Rattus norvegicus: one gene and its partners. The protein of the gene in region 1 purifies or fractionates together with the protein of each later gene. This does not show direct contact. Links are inferred from orthologs where the notes say so. Each region holds a gene or a part of one and is shown in the gene's direction. Other genes may lie near its edges.

The links.
Region 2: the proteins of Pomk (region 1) and Canx purify together in Homo sapiens (affinity purification with mass spectrometry; 3 studies listed by BioGRID and IntAct, counting the BioPlex papers as one, with this or other methods). This does not show direct contact. The link is inferred for Rattus norvegicus from reciprocal best matches to the Homo sapiens genes POMK and CANX.
Region 3: the proteins of Pomk (region 1) and Ghitm purify together in Homo sapiens (affinity purification with mass spectrometry; 3 studies listed by BioGRID and IntAct, counting the BioPlex papers as one, with this or other methods). This does not show direct contact. The link is inferred for Rattus norvegicus from reciprocal best matches to the Homo sapiens genes POMK and GHITM.
Region 4: the proteins of Pomk (region 1) and Lrp6 purify together in Homo sapiens (affinity purification with mass spectrometry; 3 studies listed by BioGRID and IntAct, counting the BioPlex papers as one, with this or other methods). This does not show direct contact. The link is inferred for Rattus norvegicus from reciprocal best matches to the Homo sapiens genes POMK and LRP6.
Region 5: the proteins of Pomk (region 1) and Tmem59 purify together in Homo sapiens (affinity purification with mass spectrometry; 3 studies listed by BioGRID and IntAct, with this or other methods). This does not show direct contact. The link is inferred for Rattus norvegicus from reciprocal best matches to the Homo sapiens genes POMK and TMEM59.

What each region holds. Positions count from the first base shown.
Region 1 is NC_086034.1:72,789,240-72,793,553, forward strand, and holds the start of Pomk (protein O-mannose kinase), read left to right. Parts: upstream 1-1,509; 5' UTR 1,510-1,534; intron 1,535-2,097; exon of another isoform or gene 2,098-2,231; intron 2,232-4,314. UniProt on the Homo sapiens protein: Protein O-mannose kinase that specifically mediates phosphorylation at the 6-position of an O-mannose of the trisaccharide (N-acetylgalactosamine (GalNAc)-beta-1,3-N-acetylglucosamine (GlcNAc)-beta-1,4-mannose) to generate phosphorylated O-mannosyl trisaccharide (N-acetylgalactosamine-beta-1,3-N-acetylglucosamine-beta-1,4-(phosphate-6-)mannose).
Region 2 is NC_086028.1:35,126,857-35,130,370, reverse strand, and holds part of Canx (calnexin precursor), read left to right. Parts: exon of another isoform or gene 1-130; intron 131-136; exon of another isoform or gene 137-379; intron 380-1,014; coding exon 1,015-1,135; intron 1,136-1,270; coding exon 1,271-1,350; intron 1,351-2,269; coding exon 2,270-2,323; 3' UTR 2,324-3,514. UniProt on the Homo sapiens protein: Calcium-binding protein that interacts with newly synthesized monoglucosylated glycoproteins in the endoplasmic reticulum. It may act in assisting protein assembly and/or in the retention within the ER of unassembled protein subunits.
Region 3 is NC_086034.1:12,915,337-12,919,528, reverse strand, and holds the start of Ghitm (growth hormone-inducible transmembrane protein), read left to right. Parts: upstream 1-1,383; 5' UTR 1,384-1,477; exon of another isoform or gene 1,478-1,699; intron 1,700-2,818; 5' UTR 2,819-2,857; coding exon 2,858-2,989; intron 2,990-3,305; coding exon 3,306-3,405; intron 3,406-4,192. UniProt on the Homo sapiens protein: Plays an important role in maintenance of mitochondrial morphology and in mediating either calcium or potassium/proton antiport. Mediates proton-dependent calcium efflux from mitochondrion.
Region 4 is NC_086022.1:169,006,214-169,009,727, reverse strand, and holds part of Lrp6 (low-density lipoprotein receptor-related protein 6 isoform 2 precursor), read left to right. Parts: intron 1-2,867; coding exon 2,868-3,098; intron 3,099-3,514. UniProt on the Homo sapiens protein: Component of the Wnt-Fzd-LRP5-LRP6 complex that triggers beta-catenin signaling through inducing aggregation of receptor-ligand complexes into ribosome-sized signalosomes.
Region 5 is NC_086023.1:127,201,312-127,204,825, forward strand, and holds part of Tmem59 (transmembrane protein 59 precursor), read left to right. Parts: intron 1-1,241; coding exon 1,242-1,394; intron 1,395-3,128; coding exon 3,129-3,210; intron 3,211-3,514.

The sequences.
Region 1 (4,314 bases):
TGTGCACGCGCGTGTGTCCATGCATGTGCATTTGGAGAGCAAAGGACACGGTGAGCATCCTTACTCACCTTACCATGTGGGTCCTAGGGATCTCGGACTTAGATTGTCAGACTTGACGGCAAGCACCCTGACCTGCTGGCCCTCTCAGGCCCCTACAGCATCACTTCTTATTCTAGCAAACTGTATATAACACCCCTCATGGTTTTATTCATTTTGTAAAAGGTTGTTTTGGATTTTACTTGATGTGCTTTGCGTGCTTATATGTCTGAGCACCACTGTGTGCAGTGCCTTCAGAGGGCAGAGGCAGAAGGTCTAATCCTCTAGAACTGGGTTGCAGGCAGTGGTTAGCTGCCAAGTGGATGACTGGAACCCTGGTCCCCTGGAAGAGCAACCAATGCTCTCACCTACTAAGCCGTCATCTCTCCAGCCCCTATCCTAGCCATTTTAAGTGGGTATTTCAATGGCATCTCATACACATTATTTTACAGCCATTACCTCCATCGTCACCAGAGGTTTTAAAGCTTCTCAAACGGAAACTATTCATTGAACAGTGTTCTTAATGGCATATATATATGCATATGTATATGTGTATATGTACATATATGTGTATATATTTCATGTAATTTATTTCTTGCTGTTATATATCCAGGTATATTTTCTACAATAAATATCCTTGGTGCTGGAGAAATGGCTCCACACTACCTGAGTTTAGTTCATAGCATTGATATTAGGTAGATCACAATTTCCAGCGAGTCTTTCTATCATTTCTTTGAGTTCTCTGGCATACCACATAGGCACGCATTTGTCAGTCCGAGAAGCAAAGGTTGCTTAGAGGGTTTTGTTTTGGTTTTTTTTTTTTTTTTTTTTTGAGAATTGTTTTGTTTTTGCCCCACTCCTCTGGTGCTTGATCAAGGTGCATGCTTCGAGTTAACACTCATCGTTTGGATAATAAACACAGATGGTTTTTTAAACCTGCACGCTGTACTGTCTTGATTTCGAATCTGGAAAGTAGATCAGTTTTTTAAGTACAACAAATTAGGTGGTGTTATGTCTGATTTTCCATTTCCCACCCTTACCCCTCTCGTGACACATTAAGACCTTCCAGCCTTCACGTCGCTTGAAGTCTGTGAAGTGCAGCTTTGCGTCTCAGGTGGAAGCTCCACAGTCACCTTTACGTGTAGTTATCAAATCCAGAGGCATCAGTACACTGAGGCTCAGTCTGCGATTTTCTCATGCTGCTTTTCTGACGATCCCTCTTTGGCAGCCGCCGCTTTGCAGAGAGTGTAGAACTGCAGATCGGGGAAACAACCCTCTGAGGTCCTCAGCCCCAGGCTCAACCCTGCTGCTGCTTCCTGGCGTTTACCAATTTGGCTAGAGGAAACCAGAACCAGGGGCTGGCTGGGTGAGGGTACACTGCCGCGGGCGTCCAGTGTGAGGCGGGAGGCGGCCACCAGAGGGCAGCCTAACGCTCGCCTCCGACCGCTTCCGGCCGCGCAGGCGTTCTGGGATGCGAGCCGGATTTGGTGGTCTCCAGGTAGGCTCCGGGGCGTAGTGAGGTGGGCCAGGGTTCTGTGGGGCCTTTCCGAACCCGACCCCCGGCCCCATCTTCCCGGCCCAGCCCCAGAGTGGGCTCTCATGGGGCTCAGCTGGGACTAGACTTGGAAACTGGTGCTGGCAGCGGCCCCTAGGGTGCTTACCGTGCACCCCTTCTCCGGGTGTTCATCGTGCAACTCCCCTCGGGTGCTCACCGAGAACCCCTCTCCGGGTGCGTACGGTGCACACCCGCTCAGGGTGCTTACCGTGCACCGGGCGCTGCTACTGAACTGTGTGAGCGAGCGGAGACTGCCCGCCATGCCCTCGCTTTCTCTCCCCCTCCCTCTCACTTCTCTCCCCACTTCTTTGTTAAAACCCAATTTTAGACGTTTAGTAAATTTGATGCCTCCGCCCTTTCGCCTGCACAAACTAAATAACATCCAGAATATTTAAATAGTTACCGGGAAGTGAGATTTAGTCTGAACCGAATTGGTGGCACCAGCGCCTTCTCGAATCATATAAACTATCTGCACATTGGCAGTTCACTTAATTTTCCCTGTCTAGCCTAAGCAGTGAGCATACAGCCGCTGGTCCTTTTTCACCGTTATCAACTAGCCGTCGAGTTTAAACAGTGCCAGACGTTCCTACTCAGCCGGCTACACATATTCTCTAAGCTCTGGGCAGTCCACAAGAAACAGGTGTGTTAACACACACCAGTTGCCAAGAAATGAGGGTTCGGCATAGAGCTGATAATGTGGATTCTGAGGCTGGAGGGATGGCTGGTGGTTAAGAGCCACATGTGTTGTGTGCCTTGTTGCAGAGGACCTCGGTTCGATTCCCTAATGGCTCACCACTGTCCATAATTTCAGTTCCAGGGAATCCAGCGCTTTATTCTGACCCCCGGGGCACCAGGCACACACACACACACAACACATATTGGACAATGTGAGTGCAAGCAAACACTCATGCGTATAAAATAAGCAAATTTAAAAATATGAATTCTAGGTTCCTGCAGCGTTTTGTCCATGATGCTGGTAGCATTGGAGCGTGCCGGCTTTTTTTGTTATCGTCAGCTTTTTAAAGGGGAAGGGTTTACTGGGGATCAATCATGGGATTCGTTCTGTGACCTTTGCTTATGGCCCATGCTCAGTATACACATCATGGCTGGAGAGAGCAGTGGAAAGGGAAACTGAAGGAGGGAAGACCGTGAGTGGGGAGGTCATCTTACTTCCTGACACCCCGGAAGCACAGAGACACAGGCTGAGGTCCCAGTAGCTCCTTCCAGGGCACGCTGTTACCTTCCGAGGCTTCCTTGTAACAGACTCTGCCTGCTCAAGGTTCTGCTGCCGTCTGGTAGTGCCAACAGCCAAGACCGAGTCTTTAATGAATAGGCCTTTGGCAGATTCTCACGCAAACTGAAGGGGACTGGAGGTATATATGACAGCTTCTCTGTGCTGCCACACATCCCTTGCAAAACCCCGGAAAGGGGCTGACAGTTTTACATTCAAAAGTGTGTGCTCCTATGTGCGTGTTTCACAGGTGTGTCATGGCACACATGTGGAGGTCAGAGTACAGCATGGGTGCTGCTCTGGCCTCCTGCCTTGTTTGAAACGGTGTCACTTTGTGATGTCCCACCATGTATCTGGCTAGCTGGCCTGGCAGCTTCTGACTATTCTGTCTCTACAATCCATGAGATTATGGGTACATCTGGCTTCTCTTGGGTTCTGGGGTCCTCACACTTTACCCACTGAGCAGTCTGCCCAGCCCGCCATCCTTTCCTTCCTAAAACTATATGATTTCTAGGGTCCAGGAAGCTTGCATTCACCCAGGTAAGGTCAAGGTAAGATGAGGGAGAGGTTGAAAGAGATTTGACACTGGGAAGATGTAACTATAGTGTTGGTGTGGTGACACTGGGTGCAAGAAGAAATGGGTGGATGAGAAGCATGATGGGACAGACAGGTCCCCATAGACTAAAAAAGAGACACCGGGGCCATGAGTAAAGCCAAGGACAACAGGAGTGTGCGTGCCAGAGACCATAAACACAGAAAAGTGCAGCGTGACCTGCCAATCCGTGCATTCTTCTCAAGTCCCTGCCGCGAGAGGCACTGCAGACAGTGGGGAACCAAACAACAGAAGACAAACATCAAGGAACGTGTAATCTAGAGGGGAAAGGCCTACGTATCTCCTAAAGGGTTTCTTTGAGCACCTAGGAATGTTTGGGGGCTGGAGTGCGGCACAGTGCATGTGTGCATTCATGTGTACATGCGTGTGTGTGTGTGTGTGTGTGTGTGTGTGTGTGTGTGTGTGTGTGTGTGCATGCATGCGTGAGTGTGTGGAGAGTAGGTGAACCAGTACTGGGCTCCAGAAGTTTACTTTCCCCTTCGTGTTCTCCAAGGCAGTGCATCTTGGCATAGACTATGTTCTACATCCCTAGCCACTCAGGACTCATCTAAGAGTTTTGTTTGTCAGGGCACAGTGGGAATATTGAATGCCTGCATTCCCCAGGCAGGCGGGTGTGAGAGTGGGATTAAATCTGTGGTTTGGAAGGATCACCCTTTGTCAGAGACTCTGTCTCTTACACACACACACATAAAGAAATATGTACAAACTGTGTTTCACACCAGGGTGGTTGTGAATGCTTATAATTCCAGCACATTGGAGAGTGAGGCAGGAGGATTGATTGTACGGTTGGTCTGTCTATACAGTAAGACTGGGGTTGGGGGAATTATCTCACTAATGGTGCTAGAATCAGTCACAACTAATGAAGTACAGTAGATGGCA
Region 2 (3,514 bases), on another chromosome or scaffold:
CAGGCCAAAAGAAGGCATCGGAACTCAATATGGATGGATGGTTGTGAGCCACCATGTGGTTGCTGGGAATTGAACTCAGGACCTTTGGAAGAGCAGACAGTGCTCTTAACCTCTGAGCCATCTCTCCAGCCTGAGATTTTCTTTTTTTTTTTTTTTTTTGGTTCTTTTTTTTGGAGCTGGGGACCGAACCCAGGGCCTTGCGCTTCCTAGGCAAGCGCTCTACCACTGAGCTAAATCCCCAACCCGAGATTTTCTTTAGTAGTTCGTAAATACTGGTCCATGTTTTGCAGGGGTTCCTTGTACCCAGATGATGACAGGATTTAGAGTTCCTTGTTTGTCATTCCACTCTGTTCTTGTCCTTTATATGGAGTGATCCTATCTAGGGGAAAAAGAACAATATGGATATAAGATCAGCCATCTGGGCACAAAATAGTCTTCCTCATTATTTCTATTCTTATTTATCTATGGCTCTTTCCCTGCCTTCACTCTCTCAAACAATACATCTTAAAACTGTGCTTTCAGGTTTTACAGCCTCAGTGTTTTTCTTATTCAGACCTTGTTTCTTGCTGTCTCCTACTAACTTAGGATTTTGACTCTATTTAAATTATTTATACTTTGGGGTTGGGGATTTAAGGCCCTGGGTCCAGTCCCCAGCTCCGAAAAAATGAAAAGGAAAAAAAAATTATTTATACTTTGTCAGATTCAAAGGTTTCTTTCTAGCCTTACCCTCATCATTCACTGTTGGAGTATATGTATCTGAGTCAGCTTGACAAGCTTAGCCTGTGCTTCCTTACTGAATCTGTTTTGTTTTTCATGATACCTCTCTTCCTTAACTTCCCTCTCAGTCCCTCCCATGGGGCAAACCTGTAGAGTAAAAACAATGTCTTTCATGTGTCTGTATAACTGCCTTGTACACAACCTTGTATATAATTTTGCCTTGTAGACATTCAGGAATTGAGGGGTAATATTTTTGTTATAACATAAACATGGTTCTTATACTTGACTATATTTCAGAAACAGTCCAATGCTATGGAGTACAAGAAGACAGATGCTCCCCAGCCAGATGTGAAGGACGAAGAAGGGAAGGAAGAAGAGAAGAACAAGGGAGATGAAGAGGAAGAAGAGGAGAAGCTTGGTGAGTAGAGTCTAGAAATCTATTCTAGACCCTGATTAACAAAATAAGCTACAGTGGGTTGTTCTTAAATTATGCTATAATTATTGTCAGAACTTTAAGTGAAGTTCTGTTTAGTAGTTTCATTTTCTGTCCTAGAAGAGAAACAGAAGAGTGATGCTGAAGAAGATGGTGGCACTGGCAGTCAAGATGAGGAAGATAGCAAGCCTAAAGCAGAGGTAAGGCAGGATAATAAATGCTTCCAGCCACCTAAGCTGAAAACATATTTAGTAAAGATTTTTTTAAGTAAGTTTATGTGCAGTGTGGTTATGGTATGTACGTGTGAGTGCAAGTGCTTCAATTGCCAGAACTGATGCATCCCCAAGGCACTGAAGTTACAGGTGCCATGGATCCTCTCAAAGAGCCATCTCTGCAACCCAAAGGCAGTGCTTTATACATTAGTTTACAATGACTGGAAATTTTTTTCTGTGTGGGCAAGGTGGGTCCTCCAATCCTTTTTTTAAATAAATAGGAGTACCAAGTTTCTTAACAGTCCTGTGGTGTATGTCCTCAAAGGTATTTCTTGAATACCACTACAGTGGCTTGGAACTCAGAGGTCTGCATGCCTTTGCCTTCCAAAAGCTAAGATTAAAGGTGTGTGCCACCACCATGTGATATGCTTAAAACTTTTCGAGACAAGCTTTCATGTAGTCCACACTGTTCGTTCTGTGTAGTCAAGGGTAATACTGAGCTTCTAGTCTTCCTGCCGTCATACCCAGTATGTGCTCTACTCTATTTTATGTGTTGCTGTGGGTGCTCTCAAGGGTACCTGGATTTAATTCTTAATACACATATGGTGGCTCACAACTGCCTGTCATTCCAGTCCCGGGGGATCGGATGCCCTCTTCAGGCATGCACAGGGTACAGAGATACAGATTCAGGCAGACACATCGGATAAAGTAAAAAATCCTCTACCAAGTTAGGTTTAAGGAAAGTACATGTTTTCTGAAAATAAAGACTAAAATTGAATACCTATAATTCTAGTACCTGTCACATTATAGCTTTTCACCAATTGAGTGACTTAGTTTAAATGCTTGTGCAAGTTTGACAGCATTTGTGTTTAAATATGCTAATTATATGAACTCTTTCAACTTATAGGAGGATGAAATTTTGAACAGATCACCAAGAAACAGAAAGCCACGAAGAGAGTGAAACAATCTTAAGAACTTGATCTGTGATTTCCTCTCCCTCCCCTTCCCCTGCAAATATGGTCCTAGGAGAGGGCCTGGTGTACCTTAGGTGGGAGCTCAGAAAACCTCAAGATGTCACCATCAACAGGTTCCAGTGAATACTAGCCTGTAATTTTAAACATCTAGCAGTAAACTATTGCAGTTGTAATGTAAAGGACCCTGTTTCTGTAGAAAAGAAAACATTTAACATAATGGTTGTGAAATGTAACATGAAGCAACTAACTAGTGTTTTGTTGTTTTTAAAATCTTCCAGGTTTGTCTTTTTTTCCTTTTTTTAAAGATACAATGATAGAATTTTTGCCAATTTAAAATCTTGGCTTAATTTAATATATTAATTTGTTCATGCAGAAATAACACCAACATTAGGAATGCTAGGGAGAATGAATTGCAGTTTTTATAACAATTTTTTTAAGTTTGGTATTAAAACATTCATGTGTCTGTCCCAAAAATTGTAATCACGTTCAAGTGCAGTCATTTGTGGTTATAATCTTGTTTTGTGTGCTTCCATTACTTAATTCCTCTTAAGGACACAGAGATTAGATGGAAGCTCAATTTATATCAAATTTACATTGTATTGAATAGACCCAAAAAGAACTAAAAGGAGACTTTCACTTGGTGTTGGTCAGATCATAAAGTGCAGTGTTCTGTTGTTGGAACTGCTCCATTCACAAACAGCTTTGCAGAGGAAAGGAGCTGGCTTAATGCAGCAGTTTATACTGTACTTCCCATATAGGAGGTCTGACAGCTCAGATCCTCTGGAGCACAAGGCTTTTTAAGGAAGGCTGGTGTGCCTGAGTAGATAATTACATCACTTGTTCCACTGTGTTGACACTGTTTTCCTCATGCATCTCCTCAGTCCCTAGCTTTCTCTGCTATGCATTTTCTTCACAGTGCAGCTTGCAGTCCGTTGCTGAAAATTATAAGCTCTGCATAGTGTTGGCTTTACTGTGATTACATGTTTCTTTTTTAGCAAGCCCACATCTTTCTAGGGTCCAACTACAGGATAGATTACAGACTTTCCATTAGTGTCTATTTCTTTTACTCTGTGTAGACTTTAGAAAGTCTAATCCAGAGATGGGCCAATTCAGAATTGACTATAATTGAACACAGGCTAAAAGTATTTATGGGAGGATTGACACATAGCATGAGTTAT
Region 3 (4,192 bases), about 60 Mb from region 1:
AATACAAAAGGTTTGTGAGAGATAGAGTTTTAAATTAGCTCAAAACTCAGCAACAGGATCTGACTCAGGAAGACAGGTGGTTAAAAATGCAGGAGGACTGGTGCAGACTCACTGACCCTCCGGATGTCACTGGACGTGAGTAAAGGAGTAACGGGTTCTGTTCTGCCCCAGTGATGTTTGTTCAAGCCCCCATTGTGCCCTACATAATGTTCCAGCCATTGTGTCCTGCAGATAATATTCCAGGAAACCGGGGCCGAAGCCTAACCAGATGTGTATCAGATGCAGATGCCTCGTCAACTCTGACAAACATTTACCCTAAAGGACAGGAATCAAGATCTGTTCTCAGGAGAATGAGGGCTTGACCTTTCCCCTGATTTAAACCCTAGAGTCTTAAGAACAATCCTGTGACTTTGAGAGTTTCCCCTCGTGACATTTTTGGTATTTCCTTTTGACATCCCCTTATCTCCTGGGGCTTGTGACTTCTTCCTTTAAATAGCCCTTCTCCCAGCCACACAGGGTAGACACCGCTGTCTCCTGCGAGGGATACGTGTCGGCCCGGAGCCCTCTGTAATAAACCTCGCCTCTGCGTATTGCATCAAGATTGGTCTCTCGTGTGTCTGGGGTCCGCAACTTCCCGAGACTTGAGTAAGGGTGTCCCTTCAGGGATCTTTCAGTTTGGTCCTGGCCTTATAATTAATTCAAAGTAAATTAATACAGGCAAAACTCACTAGACCAGTATCATATCTTTTAACATTTGAATAATGAATCAAAAGGAGAGCGTGCCAAGCACATACCCCATAGCTCAAGACACCCAGCCTAGCCACAGTCCCAGCAGTGATAAAAAGGAAGCAATTAACGAACGTTTGACTAAATTATACCTCTAAGGGTTGATAAATTTCCTGCCAGTCACCGCGACTATACGATTAACCCAAACTAATTACTCTCGGCCTAAAACGCGTTTTAGGAATGACTCTTAAATAGAACTAAAATCCAACTTAAATGTGAAAAGTCATTGGTAGACCTAAATCCAATAACAAAAGTAATTCTAGGCTGGCTTTGAGCTCACAGCGATCCACCTGCCTCCCAAAGGTTGGGATTTAAGGAGTGCGCTGCCAACCAGTCCACCTCCCATTTTTTACACCTATTGGCTGCGAGTGCACACAACGCAGCTGCCCAAAACTAAAACGCCAGAGTGGGCTGCGTTGCCCAGACCTAGAATGGACTCTGACTGTGACGTTTTTTCGGAACCCAAACTTCCATTGGTCCGGTCTCCAAGCCAAGACCCGCCTTCGCCACGGTGCCCTCCCTTCCGTTAGAAGCCTGCTCTTGATTGGCTGCTTGTACTATTTACCTTTTGTCCGGATATTGCGTGACGCAGTGAGTCGCGGGGTTGCGGAGGAGCGGCAGAGGGAGGTCGAACACTCTCGGTTTCGGTGGCCCGGAAGGGAGCCCCGTGGCAGAGGTGACCGGAGCTGAGGTACTGCCCCGAGAGTCCTGAGAATCCCAGTTCTCGTGATGGACGTCGGCACAGCGGGATCTGGGTTGGCTGCTCCGGGCGGGAAGGCCGGGCTCGCCCTCTCTACATCTCCCTCGGCAGGGAGATGCTGAGTCAGCCGCTCGAGGACCCGCGTGGTCGCCCTAGCTGACCGGGAGAGGGTACCGTGGGGTGGTGCGTGGACGCGGAGGCTGCGGGCTAGCGGTGAGAGGGGAGGAAGGGCACACCCGAACACTCGAGCTCAAGAAAGCTTTAGGAAGGGTCGGCAGTAATTCGTACAGACCTAGCCCAGGGGCCCGTTTCAGAGGACCAGAACCCGCACATAAACACATGGCCGATAACCCTCTTAGCTGTTCCCCAACATAAGGCCACTCAGATTAGACTCTGTTCAGGTTAGTAAGCTGAAGCAATATGTTGAGATGATGTAATGGCATGAAAGTACCAGAAGGGCTCGCGGGTTTTTCCGCAAGGTCAGATGCCTAGAGTTGTGTGCACTTCATAGTTCCGGAAGCTCTTAACTTTGGAGGTGCTAGTTAAAACTTCGTTACATTCCTGGAGTTTTAGGGTAAATCTTGGGCAATTTCAAAGTCCCAAGCAAGGCACTGTCGTCAAAAAGCTGTTTTGGCCTAGTTTTCTTGTATTTACAAATGGGGAGAAGGCGGAAATACCAATCACTTGCCTAAAATTCATCACAACTCATTGGCCAGAAATGTGACTTTATAGCATTACAGAGAGACGTTCACTTAACTATCTGGAGCTGAGACAATTCAATTTTAGAATGTTGGGGGCAAGGGTTACCCTATTAAGAATACAAGAAGAATTCTTAATGTTTTGATCGAATGTTATGTAGTGGAATAAATTAATTTGAAAGTGTCTGTCGTATCTTAAAGGGAAATAATATTTGACCTATTTAGTAGACGTATACATGCCTGGCTTTTGTCGATTTTATTTTAGTCTTGTAAAATGTGACCTTAATCTTTTCTCTGGGTGTTTTTCTTGTGCTGAAAAGTTACATAAATTCTTTTATTCACTGAGTGATGGTGTAAATCTTGGGCAAAGCTGCGGTTATAGAATCTGTGATTGTGTCAACATAATGACATTAAATCTCTATTCCATATATCTGGTCAAACTTGGATTTATATCATTGGCTGCCCATTCCAAATTAGATTTCATGAGTTAGAAGGAACAGGGGAGGATACAACATTAAAAATAGTGAAGCCACTGTTCTGATTATTTTTTTCTATTGCAATTTAGTTTCTTCTGATTTTGGCTATGTTTCCTTCTTAATTAACTTAATTTTTTCCCTTCTACCTTTCTAACTAGCATTTCAGATCTGCTTAGTAAACCGGTATATCACCCACCATGTTGGCTGCAAGGCTTGTGTGTCTCCGGACACTACCTTCCAGGGTTTTCCAGCCCACTTTCATCACCAAGGCCTCTCCACTTGTGAAGAATTCCATCACAAAGAACCAATGGCTCTTAACACCCAGCAGGGTAAAGAATGCTTTCCCCCACCCATCCAGGTTGTCTGTTAGAATTTGGTGGTGATGGTGGTAGTTGATTAGTGGGCTGTTCTGTGGGCTTCACACTGGTTGGGAGTAACTTACTCATTAGTTACTGTAACAGTGGTTTACTAAAGCAATAGTAAAGTTTTCAGTGAGCTTTATCCTTGCCAGTTTACATCCTTCCAGTCACTCCTTATCACAAATGCCTTAAGAGGGGTCCCACGCCTTTCCCACATCTAAGATGTTAGGTAACTTTCTAATATACTGTTGTTGCTTTGGATGGTATGTCTTTTTGTCTATGTCAGGAATATGCTACCAAGACAAGAATTAGGACTCACCGTGGGAAAACTGGCCAAGAACTGAAAGAGGCAGCCTTGGAGCCATCACTGGAAAAAGTCTTTAAAAGTATGCGGAAGTTTAGTATTTAATGTGAGGCCTGTATGTGTGTGTGTGTTTAGTTCACAGGCAGCTTCCTGAAAAGCCATACTTCTATTTTGGGGGGTCTGTTAACCCAAAACAGATGGGCACTTTGCATTGGCTTTCATGGTTCCTAATTGTATTAAAGATTTACTAGTTTTAGAAAAACCAAACTTATTATCATCCTATTATGTAAAATGGTAGAGCCTATTCAGGAAGTTTATTTCAAGTTATGGAGAATCTTCATTCAAGCAGGTGCTTGTGAATGTCAATTTCTGTTCATGTGTACGTCTGTGTGACTACCTGCCAGGTGGATGCCAGTGCCCACAGAGGCCAGAAGAAGATATCTGATCGCCTGGACTAGAGTTATAGGTGACTGTATGCCACCTGAAGTAGATTCTGGGAACTGAACTCAGGTCCTCTGTAAGAGTAGCAAAGGGCTCTTAATCACAGAGCCATATCTGCAGCCCCTTGAAAGGCATTACCTTAATGAAGTCATTTGATTCGTAGTTTGGATTTTAACTTTGGAGATTCTGAAGCCAGACTTCCAGATTGCTAATCTTGCCTAAATTTCAACAGAAGCCTTGCTACTTGACAGTTTTAGAAGTGTCACCGTATTATATAGTTCAGGAAAGCCCTGATTAGTATCATGCAAGGCGTTTCTTTTTGATTAGAGGCTTGACCACAGAGGAAAAAAAAAAAATCAGGATTTTCCAGTTACATTTTTAGTAAACAAGTTTAAGTTGAAGAAAGTAAGATGTGTTTTTTATGAGCA
Region 4 (3,514 bases), on another chromosome or scaffold:
GCATGTCCCAAATCAGTACCCATAATTCTGAGTAGAATTTAGCATAAGTAGATTGACCATCACAAATTGTGGTAGAGTTGTAAAAGTTTGAGCATTCATAAATCCTTCAGCAGGTACTGGTTCCCCATGCTGTGTGCCAGGGATAGCCTGTGTAGTTCAGATGGAGAGAAGGTGGGATCAGGACTGCCAATGGGGGCTGGAACCACAGATCACTCTTTCAGCAGAAAAATATTTGTTCTCGTTAAGTATCGGTTTCCTCACCTGTAAAATGATGCTGATATTTCTCATGGTTGTAAAGAGAATGAACTGCTTGAGTGAATGAATCATCTAGCCTGGTGAAGGTGGAATCTGGTCCACGGGGGTACTGTTGTCAGAGTAAAGTGAGCATCAGAATTGTTATAAAGCCACACAAGTGGTCGCACAGAGGAGGAGACAGCCAGCTTCTTAGGAATGTAGATGGAGTAGATCAAAGCAGCTTCCTGGAAAAGTACTTGAGATCAAATGCTGATAAAGTATTTGTTCTACAGATCGGTAGAGATGCTATCCTATGTTTAGAGCCAGAAAGGTGTGAAACCAGTCACCTTTCTCGAACTGCTATGTTTAATGGACTTGCCACATTGGCTGTGCTTTAGGGGGTCACCAAGAGAGAGCAGTAGTGTAAGATCATTAAGGTGAGATCACAGGGTACTGTTTGCTTTTCTACTAGTGAGCAGAGGTGGTACACAGTTCATATGCAGGATCACTGACATTGAAAGAAAAGACGAGGGTGGGAACCTGAGAGCAAATGCTATGAAATGTGTTTCAGGTGCTAAGACTGTAGGCAGAAACATCTACTAGGCTGCTGATTTTCCAAATTCTTTGGACTCCATCAAGAGCAGTGCAGTGATGAGATGCATGTGTAGACAAACGGGTGTCACACAGCAGCATTTATGCATACAAGGTGCTAGGCTACATCTTGATGGTTTCTCTTTCCTTTGGTTTAAATGCCTGTTGCAACCCTCTAAGTTTTCCACCATCTGCTGATGAGGCTTTTGTGGTTCTGACAAAAGATGATCTAAATCAAGAGGATCGAGCAGCGTGGCTGGGAAAGGAAGGCGGGGCTTCAGTTACTTCAGAGACACAGGGATTGGTCGCCACTTAGATACAGTTGGCATTAAGTTGACCCATGTGTACCTCTCAGAGTGACTGGAGTCGTACCCAAGATACACAGCAGAAACTAAGCGCTGAAGCACCACCTGGGGCCCTGGTGTGGGTGCAGTGCTCTGCTAATCAGTGCAGGCTGCTGTCTGTGAAATATAAATGGCTGTCCCGGGCGTGCACTCTACAGCTTGCCCTGGCCTTGAGCTGGTTTATCTGTTTCACATCTGGAGAGGTGGTGATAGTGGTGAGTTTGGTTTGTTACGTTAAGGGTAACTATAGACTGTTTTTCACAACTGTTAGGAACTTGATCAAATGTGTCTACGGCTCAGGAAGGTGTTTGTACTCTCTAGACTATGAATGGTAATTGAACTTAGAGTGATGGACAAAGTCTCCAGAGAGCAATGGAGGAAACAGTACATTGTAATAACTCAGGGAAGCATACACAATGAATTGGGAGCAGGAGTAATCAGAACTAGTAAATAGGCATGGTTGTCCATGTTTGCGACCCCAGCAGTAGGGATGCATGAGATCACAATTTGAGGTGCAGCTTCAGCTGCATAGCTGATCGAAGCCAGCCTGGACGAGGCGAGACCCTGTTTCAACAAAGAAACAGAAAAAGTAGGAGAACGGCGTCTTCCACAGTGAGCAGATACCATCTAAAAGAAAACATTGCCTACTCTATTGAGCATGTAGAGAGGTCTTTGAGTTGAAGAATCTCTCAAATATGGCAAATAGGAGAGCCATTTCCCTGCAGTGGCGAGGGAGGAAGCCTAACAGCAGTGTGACCCAGAGACCAGCAATGTGGGGCAGAACGTCAAGAGAAGGATGCGTTCTTGAATCCTGGCATTGGGGAGGCATAGCAAGGCACCAGGAGAGAGTACAAAAGTGATGACAGCTGGTGGGGACCACAGAGAGAGTGTGTGCCCAGAGGACACACTGAATTGGGAGCTGATGGCCACAGCCAGAGACTGCTCCCTGCCATTGTCACTCCTGTTTCTATTAGGGATGAGTGTAGCTACATGACAGGAAATTGGGGTATCAGCAAGCAGGAAGTATTTAAGGGGTCTTCAATTATGAGATTATCCATGGATTAACTAGCCAGAGTGGAAGAATTTTTTCTTCTTAATAACTATGGGTGCTAAACTTGATAACCCACTTCTTACTCTTTCCAAATTCATGCCTTCTGCTTCTTAAACACTCAATTAGTCAGAAATCCAGGAAGGTGGGTGTGCTGGGATCCACCTCGAATCCTTTAGTAGTCAAGGACCTGTGTTTATCTTGCTCTCATGCAGCCAGGGAGCCTGAGGACAGTAGTGGTTGGATCCAAGTGCCTTCACTCATCTGTAGCTTACAGATTTCCTTCACTAAACCTAAGTGGCACTATTCAAATCTAAGCTCTAGTTCCGGGCTGTTCTTGGCTTTTTCACCTTTCCACTGAAAGCATTTAGTGATGTCTGTCTAGATCTGACCCTTCTGGCCAAAAGTTTACAATGACACTTCCTGGCCTGTTGTCGTATCTTCATTTAACAGTAGCTTCTTTAAGTTTATTTAAATTAAATAATGTCATTTAATTCATATCTTTATGTTGCATGATATGTATGTGTATATGTGTTTATATATAAACTGTGTATTTGATTTATTAACATTTTTACTTTTGCATTCTTGTATTGCTATTTTGAATATGCAGTTGTTTTTCTATTAGATAACTACAGTGTTCTCCATTTTAGATCCAACTGAGGAGCCAGCACCACAGGCCACCAACACAGTTGGTTCCGTTATCGGAGTAATTGTCACCATTTTTGTGTCTGGAACCATATACTTTATCTGCCAAAGGATGCTGTGTCCTCGTATGAAGGGGGATGGGGAAACCATGACTAATGACTACGTGGTTCACGGCCCAGCTTCTGTGCCCCTTGGTTATGTTCCTCACCCAAGCTCTCTGTCTGGATCTCTTCCAGGTAAGCGAAGACAGGTTTATGAGAATCTGGTCTTGTCTAGTTTTAAGTTCTAGGATTACAGACTAGATTACTCTGGGTTTAAGGAATTGTGAGAATTTTTTTTACACTTTTATACTGACTTTCTATGCAGAAAGACTTAAGTATCATTCCGTTTGCCCGCTCCAGGCCTCTGACTGTACCACTGAAAATGTCAGCCAGTGCTTTGGTGAATTCCTTCACCACTGGGGGAGCCTGAGGCTATTGAGTGTAGGAATAAAGGCGTTAAAAGACAGAGCAGTTTGCTGTTCACAAAGAAGAGTTTGGAAATAGCTGGTTGACAGGGAGAGAGTGTACCCTCCTCTGTCCTCTCCAGATCTAACGTGCTGACACTGGTGTGAGCACACTGGTGTGAGCACACTGGTGTGAGCGTGGTTTAG
Region 5 (3,514 bases), on another chromosome or scaffold:
ACATGGTGGCTCACAACCATCTGTAATGGGATTGGATGCCCCTCTTCTGGTGTGTCTGAAGACAACTACAATGTATCCTATACCTGAAATAAATAAATAATTCTTTAAAAAAAAAAAAAGAAATCCACGCTTCTAACTTCAGTGACTTTTAGAATAAATTGCAGTTGCACAACCATCATCACTATCTAATTCCAGAGATTTCCATCACCCCAGAATAAATCTCACACCCATTAGCAATTGCTTTCCCCTGGTTTGCAGTAGGTTTCCCTCCTTTCATATGCACGCTGCCCTGTGCTAATCCCTTTCCTAATTAAAGTATTCTGACTAAACACAGGTGCACATTGACGATTGAAATAGATATGTAAGTAGACATGCTTGCAACCTCAGCTTTCAGGATGCTAACTAAGCCTGGAGGATTGCAAGGGGGAGGCTAGCCTGGGCCACATAGCAATACCTTATCTCAAAAAAATGAAAACAGAAACACCTGGTCTCTGATCTCTTCAAATTTGTAGCCTCACTAAATACTTTTGAGTGGACTTGTGATAGGTCTCATAGCTACTACATGGGGAAACTGGACCCTGAGTACAGATTGTCCTACTCTAAAGCTGTCCTTTGCTTTGCAGTGGCTCTTGTGGTGTGTCTCCTGATGTCACATGAGCCAACACTATCCCTAGAGCTCAGTAGTCTGCACCCCAAGTCTGTGCCCCAGGGTCAGAGCCACTTAGTAAGTTAAGAAGTCAGAATTGGGTTGAGCGAGGTTGCGTCAGCTGGTGTTAAAATCTTGTCAGCAGCACCCATCACTTAAATTAATACCACAGAATACCAGTCAGCTTTCAGTGCAACCAAGCCTCATGTTTTCTGTGTACATTTTTGCCTTTGATGGTCATTAAGACATGATTTTCCCTCCTGGGAATGTTAAGGGTAAGAATGATTTGATTTCTCCTTTCCCATTCAAATTTCTTTTAATGAGATCTTAAGAGTTTCCATGTTGGGGGCTTGGCTCAAAGCCTGTTAGCCTGATAGAAGTCGTGGGTTGTGTATGAGTGTTTGAGTTTGGGTAGCCTGCCATGTTAGCTTTACCAGAGTTGATCTGCATCAGCAGCAGGGTGGAGTCTGATGCTGGTGGTTGTGACTGTTCGTGAAATTATCTATACCCTCTCCCGGCAAGGTTTGTTCTCTTGAGTACACACATCATAAATAAAATAATTCTTTTTCCTTAAACGCTTTCCTTGTTTGTTTAGCTCATGTCCCTGATGCCAAGGATGCACCTCCTCTTCCCTCTGACTCTGGTGAGGTCCTTCTGGAGCGACATGATGGACTCTGCACAGAGCTTCATAACCTCTTCATGGACTTTTTATCTTCAAGCTGATGATGGAAAAATAGTCATATTCCAGGTGACACCTGTGTCGCACACATTGACCGAAGTACAACAATGGGCGCTGTCCGTGTCTTACATAAGGGCCTTGGCATAGAACCATGTAGTCAGTCACCTAATGCTTTTGTCAAATGCTGCTGCTTAACTGGCCTTGTGGAGACCCTGAGCAGCAGGACACAGTGTAGTCACCTTTCCTTCTTGCCTTGAGGCCTTACCTCAAGCTTAGTGGTTATTTGGTCTTCTTGGTTTGACTAACTTGGAAAATGAGAAATTTAGATAGGAAGGTAATACCATATACCTTGAACATAAATAGTGGCATATAACACAGACACTAGAAAAGTGTTAATGATACAATAGGAAGTTTATGTGTTTTCCTCTAGCTGCCTGTAAGAACGTGGTACAGATGCATTTGCCCTCCAGGGAGGTAATTTTCCTCTTGTCTAGAAATTGACTGTGTGATAAGATGTTAACAAGTTCTATATAGTCTTAGAGTGCCTATGAGAAGTTATCCAGGATCCTGAGGATGCTACTATTTGGGGATGCTAAATCTCATAATATGAAGTGACATTGCATTTACATATAACCTACAAACTCCCCCCTGTGTAGGTAGTTATGGGTCATTTAATAATATAGTATTCTTGAACTGAGATGCTACAGTATTACTAGGTGGGGATGTCATTATAGTGTTGCTGTCACAGTGCGTGACTGCGCTTTAAATCACCCCTGAGTTGCTTGTGAAATCTGCACAAATAATTGTTATGATGTAGTTTAATGATAATGGAGATGCCTGTGCACACTCAGTACAGATCCCCCCAGGAGTGGTTCAGTTACAGACATGAAGTGCAGTGACATAGAACGCATGGGTGTAGAGAACTGACTGGTTTCTGAAGCTCTAAACAGTGTTGTGAGGTTGTATCACCCCTGCTTCTTGGTGAGGAAGCTAAGCACCCAGCTTTCCTAGAGTCGTGCTGTTGGTTACTAGTAATGTGATATTCAGCTCAAACTCAGGGCATTTTTAGGCTCCACACCCATAGTGCATCCTGACATCCTATTTTCTTCAATTCAGTAAGTTCCTCATCTATATCAGTCAGCAGGTTGCGTTGTGACACTATCTAGCTCTCACGTAGTAAGCCACGGCTTTAAGCATTATTATAGTGGTTTACCATATGACTACTTTGTGATTCCTAGCATTATCCTACGTTTGGGTCCTCTGCACTTAATTTGATGGCAATAAAACACAGTGTCTTCTTATATTTATGGATAAGTTCTGTGTCCTAAAGCTACATACACAAAAGCATCCTCAGTGGATGAGGGATTCTCTTTCTCTCAAGTCTATGTCAGCTTGAGTGTAACTTGGATGAAGAAAGTCCCTTTCCAGAGGCTCAGAGATATGAGGTGTAGAATGCATGCCTGTAGTGTGTCAGAAGCTTAGCGTTAGGAAGGAACAGAATGTTCCAGATGAGAAAAGAGTTCGTATGTACAATATGTATTTGGTTAAAATATACTATATCCAGGATAATATATAATATATATTTGGTTAAAAATTTAAGCAGGCTGCTGAGTTATTTCTGATCAACTAAAATCGGAATTCATTTTTACCAGCTAAATAATATTGAAGTTTTGTGGTTGATGTGTTTTATCTGTTACTGTTTTTCAATTTGAAGTTTGATAGTATGGATAGTGTGTTCTAGAACTTGTTACTAAGAACAGCGTCTGAGGTATGAATGACATAATGCTTTCCTCACCATTTTAGTCTAAGCCGGAAATTCAGTATGCACCGCAGTTGGAGCAGGAGCCTGCAGACTTAAGACAGTCATCGTTAAGCAAAATGTCCTGTAAGTTTTATTTGAAGTAGATGGTTAAACCTTAGCTGTCAGATCTGTTGTAATTGCCCACTCTGACTTCCAGTTCTGGTTCCATCTACCTGGGGGTTTGCACTTCTAATGAGTTCCACATCCTGGTAATGCTGCTAGCATGGGGACCATGCACTGTTCTAAACTCCATTTCAAAGCTTCCAATGTGAACTAACAAAGTAGTGGGTTTTTTCCCAATAAGCCTAATCGTGATACTACCTTAAAAGTGTGAGTTTCCTATTCTCTTTTTTATTTCCATGCTAGATACGAATTTTAAATCATAGGA